2 linked regions of the Callithrix jacchus genome follow. The protein of the gene in region 1 interacts with the protein of each later gene in a biochemical or structural test. Links are inferred from orthologs where the notes say so. Each region holds a gene or a part of one and is shown in the gene's direction. Other genes may lie near its edges. The genes, in order: RC3H2 and KLHL6.

Region 1 (3,823 bases):
TTGTATGCTTATGTGCAATTTTGATAATACAGTGAACAACTTACATAGATTTTGAAAGAGGTCTTTAACCTCTTCTCCCAATAAGGTTAATAAAAGTCAATGATGTAACTGATTATTTGATTGAAAACCAGTGGCAATAGGATATTTGCTAGCCACATATTAATAGCTCTGTCGTGTGTTTTAAGGAGCACTTTAACAAAGTATTGAATGTTAATGATTTTCATATAGTTATATCTTGAAAATATGTAGCTTATGGTCAGGCATGGTAGCTCACACCTATAATCCCAGCACTCTGGGAGGCCCAACCAGGAAAATCGCTTGAACCCAGGAGTTCAAGACCAGCCTGGGTATCATAGTGAGACTCTGTCTCTACCCCCCACCCCCCAAAAAAAAGCACTGTATAAAGCTTTATAAAGCAGAATAAGGTAAGGTTCACAGCTTATTATACTTTCCTGCATTAAGGGCTGTGTTAGATTTAAGCCATTATAAAATGTTGGATTGTACTAAGATTACATTAAATATTCCTCTTTCCAATTTTCAAGGATACTATCCACCACCTCCAACGGTACCAGCTGGTGTGGCTCCCTGTGTTCCTCGCTTTGTGAGGTCCAATAATGTTCCAGAGTCCTCCCTCCCACCTGCTTCCATGCCATATGCCGATCATTACAGTACATTTTCCCCTCGAGATCGAATGAATTCTTCTCCTTACCAACCTCCTCCTCCGCAGCCGTATGGACCAGTTCCTCCAGTACCTTCTGGAATGTATGCTCCTGTGTATGACAGCAGGCGCATCTGGCGCCCACCTATGTACCAACGAGATGACATTATTAGAAGCAATTCTTTACCTCCAATGGATGTGATGCACTCATCTGTCTATCAGACATCTTTGCGGGAAAGATATAACTCATTAGATGGATATTACTCGGTGGCTTGTCAGCCACCAAGTGAGCCAAGGACAACTGTGCCTTTACCAAGGGTAAGTGATGATGGAAATAGGAGTGCTACTATAATGCAGTCATTAAGAGCCCAGTGTCTGGAGTCAAACCACCCAGGTGGATATCCTGGCTCTTCCACTTACTAATTGTGTGACTTAAGGAATTTACTTGACCTCTCAATGCCTCAGTTCTTTCATTTGATGGAAACAATAGTAGTACCTATCTCATAAGGCTGTTGTGAGAATTAAATTAAGAAATCAAACCTCTTAGAACTGGGCCTGATACATGTTAATGCTCAATAAATGTTATGTTTGGATAGGAAATTGTTGGGAAAGTAGAAAGAAATCTTAAAAATACAAGGTTAGGGCCTTTGTTCAGTATCACCACATATATACAAATGACTTTCCTAAACCAGAAAAGTGAGTGCTCAGATTTTGCTTTTAACATCAGTTGAATAAATATTAAACCTTTTTATTTCAGTGTATGGAGAACAGACTAGGGTGACTTTCCCTGGTGTATTTTTTTATCCCGACAATATCATAAACTGTTTACATTATTTTCACACAGTTAAATTATTGACCACGCCCTAGATGATTAAGATTGTTTCTTTTATCCCCCATTAGGAACCTTGTGGTCATTTGAAGACCAGTTGCGAGGAGCAGATAAGAAGAAAGCCAGATCAGTGGGCACAGTACCACACTCAGAAAGCACCTCTTGTCTCTTCAACTCTTCCTGTGGCAACACAGTCACCAACACCACCTTCTCCTCTATTCAGTGTAGACTTTCGTGCGGATGTAAGAAAGGTTTTAATCAAATAGCTGATTTCAAATTACTCATTCAAACCAGGATTGGCTATGTTGGATATTTTGCAATGGTTTGGTCTGCAGTTGAGTTTAGTTCAATAAACACTGAATATATGTGCACTATGGCTAGGTGTTAGGAGACTCTGAAGACCATTAACCCATAGTCCTTTACGAAGAATTCAAAATCTTTCCAGTAATAATTTTATGGTTTTTTATTTAGTGTGATTTATATCTATCATTTATTGAGCACCTACTCGTAAAGCCATTTGCCAGTACTGTATTAAGCAATTGCATAAAGCTATTTTATTTAATTCTCACAAAAACCTTAGGGGGCAGGTATTTTCCATATTTTACAGGGTAGGAATCCTACTCACAGAAGTTAAGTAATTTGCCCAAGATCTTTCAGCCTGTAAATAGCTGGGATTTGAATCCTGGGCTATCTGAGGTATTTCTTCTGTACTTCACAAGAGATGCAGAAATACCTATGGTATTTTTTATGCTCTTTATATCACCTTAATTATTGTTTTTGGCATTACAAAATAAATTTTTGTACCAAGTTGATTTTAATATAATATGATGTTTTCAGTACTGTTATATTTAGAGAAAACCATTAATTTCTTTTTAAAGTTTCTTCTGGTTTATTCCCCATCCCCGAAGTTATGATATTAAAAATTTTTAAATCTTTTTATTATAAAAAATTTCAAACATATGCAAGTATAGAGAGAATAACATAATAAATTCCTTGTACCCAACACCCAGGTTCCACAGTTATCAACTCAGTCAATACTGTCTTATTTGTACCCCCTTCTTCCTGCTGGATTGTTTAGAAGTCATATTAGGCGTTATATTTTTTAATCCATAAATATTTCAATAAAGCATTGAATTTTTAAACCAGATCCAAATTGGTCTTGTCAAACATAGACCTCTTCAAAGCAGGTAAATATCTTGACAACAGAGTCACAGAGCTGCCACTTGCTTTATAGATGCCGCTTGTATTTTCTTTATAGATATACTAGGCTTCAGGAAATCATTATTTCTCTGATACTCAGATATGCTGAGTTTGACTTAAGAAAAGTTATTTAACCTTTTTGGCCTTGAGTTTTTTTAATTCGAATAATTAGTAAACTAGATTTAATAATTCTTACAACTTTTGTATTATGGTCCTATAGTATTATTCACGCCCATTTAAAATTTATTTCTCCTTTAGCTCCAAAGCCTTCTTTGAATTCCTTTTGTTCTTTACGTGATGCTGCCTAATTTATCAGTTATATTCCCCTATTTGCACATGGTGTTCTTTTTCTCAAGAAAATTATAAACTCTGCTGGGTGCAGTGTCTCATGCCCATAATCCCAGCACTTTGGAAGTTCAAAGTGGGTGGATTGCTTGAGCCCAGGAGTTTGACACCAGCCTAGGCAACATGGCAAAACCCCATCTCTACTAAAAATACAAAAAATTGTCTGGGCATAGTGGCACATACTTGTAGTACCAGCTACTTGGGAAGCTAAGTTGGGAAAATCACCTGAGCCCGGTAAGCCAAGGCTGCAGTGAACTGTGATCACCCCACTGCCCGTTAGCCTGGGCGGTGGGAGTGAGACCCTGTCTCAAAAGAAAATTATAAACTCCTTTAGGATATGGACTGTGATCTCTGTGTGTATCTATGTATTTTTTTTTTTTTTATTGGAGCACCCAATACCATATTAGTAGCATACTATAAATATTTGTTAAGTGGTTTTGATAGTATTAGTCAGATGTTCCATATGAGCACTTAAAGGACAAAGTGAAAAGGGAAAGCATGCCATTTTCTATTGTAAAAATACCATTTGTTTATTAGTTTTTTATATTAGTTATTGAAAGAGTGTAATTGTTCACTATGAAGTCCTTTGAATTCTATAATAGTTACTTTATATTAATTATAGGTAACTAATATAAATTTAATATAAAATATAAATAATATAACATTTACATTTATAATATAAATGTAAGCTTCTTACTAATTGGCTTTATTTCTATTTTTTATTTTTTAACCAGTTCTCAGAGAGTGTGAGTGGTACAAAATTTGAAGAAGATCATCTTTCCCATTATTCT
Region 2 (3,823 bases), on another chromosome or scaffold:
GACAGAAAACAAAACCACCTCCACCTACAAAAAGTGGGCATGAGGAAAAGTCGACCAGCACAGTTGTGGAGGATGCTTTGGCTACACCTATAAAAGTTCAGGTGCACATGCCTTTGACTTGAAAACCCGCTTCCGGGCTCCATACTAGAGAAACACCCTGACACAGGGCCTGGTCAGCAGTGTTCATTTCTGCACTATTGCACACATGTATGTCTGCAAAGTAAACCTGTGCTTCCAGTAGTTGCTGGTACTCTATGGGAAAATGGAAAAATAGAGCTGTGAAATCGTTGATTAAAATCACAGAAAGTCAGTTTTCCCTTTTGTCTCTTTCCCCAGCTGCTGAATTACATATTTTCTGTTTTTTAAGAGAGCTGTCTTCAAGAAAATATTTACCAGGCCACTCTCAAATGATCTGTTGTGAGCATCTCGTACTTTTCTAACAAATATTAATTTAGAAATAGGGTAAGTCCCACTGATCTTTCTATATAGATCAGAAAGACAAACCAAGAGAATGTTGTACGATTTCTTGGTGATTTTTGCAGGTCCGTATCTTTGCTTTTTTTTTTTAAATAAATAAGTCAACATAGAACTTAAGCTGCCATGTAATTTGCCTTCTGGACAAAGCACACTGTCCCTGCCCAGCCTTACTTCCTGCTCCTTGTGAGCACGAACGCTGAGCCCAGGCTCCCTCGGGCCCCTACCCACCTAGGCTGACTTGGGGCCTGCCCTCTGAAGCCTTCCTGGGACACCGCTCACTTAGCTACCCCTTCTCTGAACTTTGCCTGCACTGAGGTGGCACGCGGCACCGTGTGTTCACAATGCATTTCTCTCTCCCACTGTCCCCCTGCATCTGCCTTGTCTCCCCACTAGACCGCACACGCCTTCAGGGCTGCTTTGATCTCCCCTCAAGGTGAGGCTGGCCTAGGAACCTGGCATTTTTGGACATGCGGGATATTATGGGAGATGCTGTATTTCTGACACATCTGGTGGTTTCTTAAATGCTTTTTATCTCTTGCAGGTGGCAAAGAAACACAGCATGATGTTTGGAAATATAACTCTTCGATCAACAAATGGATTCAGATTGAGTATTTAAACATAGGCCGCTGGAGGCATAAGATGGTGGTGCTGGGTGGTAAGGTCTATGTGATCGGAGGCTTCGACGGCTTACAGAGAATCAACAATGTGGAGACCTATGACCCCTTTCACAACTGCTGGTCAGAGGTAGAGGAAATACTTTCTTTTCTCTTTTCTTTTTTTTTTTTTTGAGAGGGAGTCTCACTCTGTTGCCCAGGCTGGAGTGCAGTGGCACGATCTTGGCTCACTGCAACCTCAAGTGATTCTCCTGTCTCAGCCTCCCGAGTAGCTGGGACCACAGGCGCCCACGACCGCACCCAGCTCATTTTTATATTTTCAGTAGAGATGGGGTTTCACCATGTTGGCCAGACTGGTCTTGATCTCTTGACCTCGTGATCTGCCTGCCTTGGCCTCCCAAAGTGCTTGGATTACAGGCATGAGGTATCGTTGTGCCCAGCCAGGAGATGATTTGTACGACTAACTGTCTGTATTATTACTTCAATGTTTTTTTTTTTTTTTTTTTTTTTTTTCTAAAAAAGCTTGGGAATGTACCCACAGTGGTAGCCAGCTTTCTGATCACATTACTTCCGAGGAGAACATTTCTGGTGGCTCTGAGCTTCCCTCCCCCATACTTTTTGCTGATTAAGTCACAGAAACAATGTCTTCCAGGTGGTGAAGGTCTGTGTGGGCACCTGTCCTAATCCGGCCAGAGCCCCAGATGTGGGCAGAGGCTTACACTGTTGTGCATGGCAGCTCTCTTGGTCTCCATGTCCTGGCCTAGGGTCCTTTCTCCTCAGATGCCTTCTCTCCTATTCTTCTCTACACTGGACACGTGCAGATCACTTTACTACACTATTTGTGAACCCAGAGTTATTCTGTCATGTTAGAAATCATCCCCTCATTATTTTCTCATCCATGAAGAGCCACTTGCAGGCCTGCATGTCAGACTTTAGCAGCACAACCTCAGGTATATATCACACCAGGAAAAGAAAAGCTACCTGATCTCATTTCCAGGTTATTCCCAGTTTCCAATTTTCTTTCTCCTTATCAAATCAGATGTCCGAGCATGTCCCAGCTTAATGGAGAGTACAACCCCATCATTGCAGGCACAAGCAGAGGCAGCCAAGTCACCACATCATCTAGCCAAGACTGTCAGCCTGAAAAGTGCTATATGGATAGCTCTTAGCACTTACAGGGGACCTGCCCAAGATCTCCTCAAAACAAGTCCTATCCCAGAGCTGCTCCATGATGCAAAGTGTCATGTAACTGGGCAAGACGCTCCTTTAGTGTCCAGGGGTTCCCAGGGTAGAAGCACATGTCTGACTTAATCTCAAAAGCTTCAGTGTTGCCCTATAGTGGAAGAGCCCGCTTACCTGTGGCCACCTTAAACCCATATACCAGCTTTTCTTCCTAGACATAAGCATCAAGGAAAATCAATGCTGGTACACAGTAGGCACTCCATAAATATTTTTTGAGTGGACAAGCACATGAATTAATATGAACATGCATGTATAAAAAAATCATTTTCCTGGGCTGGGCGTGGTGGCTCACACCTGTAATCCTGACACTTTGGGAAGCCAAGGCAGCCGGATCACCTGAGATCGGGAGTTAGACTCCAGCCTGATCAACATGGAGAAACCTCGTCTCTACTAAAAATACGAAATTAGCCAGGCGTGGTGGCTCATGCCTGTAGTCCCAGCTACCTGGTAGGCTGAGGCAGGAGAATCGCTTGAACCCAGGAGGTGAAGGTTACAGTGAGCTGAGATTGCCCCATTGCACTCCAGCCTGGGCAACAAGAGCTAAACTCTGTCTCCAAAATAATAATAATAATAATAATAATAATTTTCCTCCAACATTGGCTGACTTCATCTGTATAAACTTATTCTTGCCTATCCTCTTCCTTCCCTGAGAGCTGGACTCTGGGAGAGGCTGGCACATGCCAGCACACAGCTTGCTCTAGATTGTGTGGAGCCTGCAGGGAGGGTGGGAAATACATGCTTTCATTCTCGCTGAGTCTTAAGAGGAGTGAAGCACAGGCGCCTTGTGACTTTAGGCAAAAGCTGCCCAGTTCTGTGTCCTGGAGCTCCGTCCTGCACCCTGGGAGCTACTGCAGCAACCTGGGCATCATGACTGACAGCTGCTTCTTGTGCCTTGTGCCTCCACAGGCCGCGCCCCTCCTTGTCCACGTCAGCTCCTTTGCAGCCACCAGCCATAAGAAGAAGCTCTACGTGATTGGGGGAGGGCCCAATGGGAAACTGGCCACAGACAAGACTCAGTGTTATGACCCTTCAACCAACAAGTGGAATCTGAAGGCGGCCATGCCAGTGGAGGCGAAATGCATCAATGCAGTGAGTTTCCGGGACCGCATCTATGTTGTTGGTGAGTAAGGGCTTCTTCTTTATCTGAATAGCTTAGAGCTGGATTCGTGCCTGGCTGCAGCACAGAAAGGGTGTGTCTCCAGCGCTGGCCACTCACTGCCCCTGGGACCCACTCTGGTTTTCAGAGGAGCCATTAATCTACTGTTTCTATTGGGAAGAGGGTAGACATGGCCTAACCAGAGCTGAGTTTTAGTGGTTAAGAGCGAAGAAGGCAGAAACTGGAGGGATGTCCACCTCTTCCCTCCCTGTCCTCAGGTGGAGCCATGAGAGCGCTGTATGCCTACAGCCCCCTGGAAGACAGCTGGTGCCTGGTGACCCAGCTCAGCCACGAGCGGGCCAGCTGCGGCATCGCGCCCTGTAACAACCGGCTC

What was found.
Region 2: the proteins of RC3H2 (region 1) and KLHL6 form a complex in vitro, tested with the Homo sapiens proteins (2 studies listed by BioGRID, with this or other methods). The link is inferred for Callithrix jacchus from reciprocal best matches to the Homo sapiens genes RC3H2 and KLHL6.

The regions. Positions count from the first base shown.
Region 1 is NC_133502.1:171,477,186-171,481,008, reverse strand, and holds part of RC3H2 (roquin-2), read left to right. Parts: intron 1-542; coding exon 543-976; intron 977-1,558; coding exon 1,559-1,729; intron 1,730-3,766; coding exon 3,767-3,823. UniProt on the Homo sapiens protein: Post-transcriptional repressor of mRNAs containing a conserved stem loop motif, called constitutive decay element (CDE), which is often located in the 3'-UTR, as in HMGXB3, ICOS, IER3, NFKBID, NFKBIZ, PPP1R10, TNF and in many more mRNAs.
Region 2 is NC_133516.1:12,550,092-12,553,914, reverse strand, and holds part of KLHL6 (kelch-like protein 6), read left to right. Parts: intron 1-1,018; coding exon 1,019-1,221; intron 1,222-3,239; coding exon 3,240-3,453; intron 3,454-3,707; coding exon 3,708-3,823. UniProt on the Homo sapiens protein: Involved in B-lymphocyte antigen receptor signaling and germinal center formation.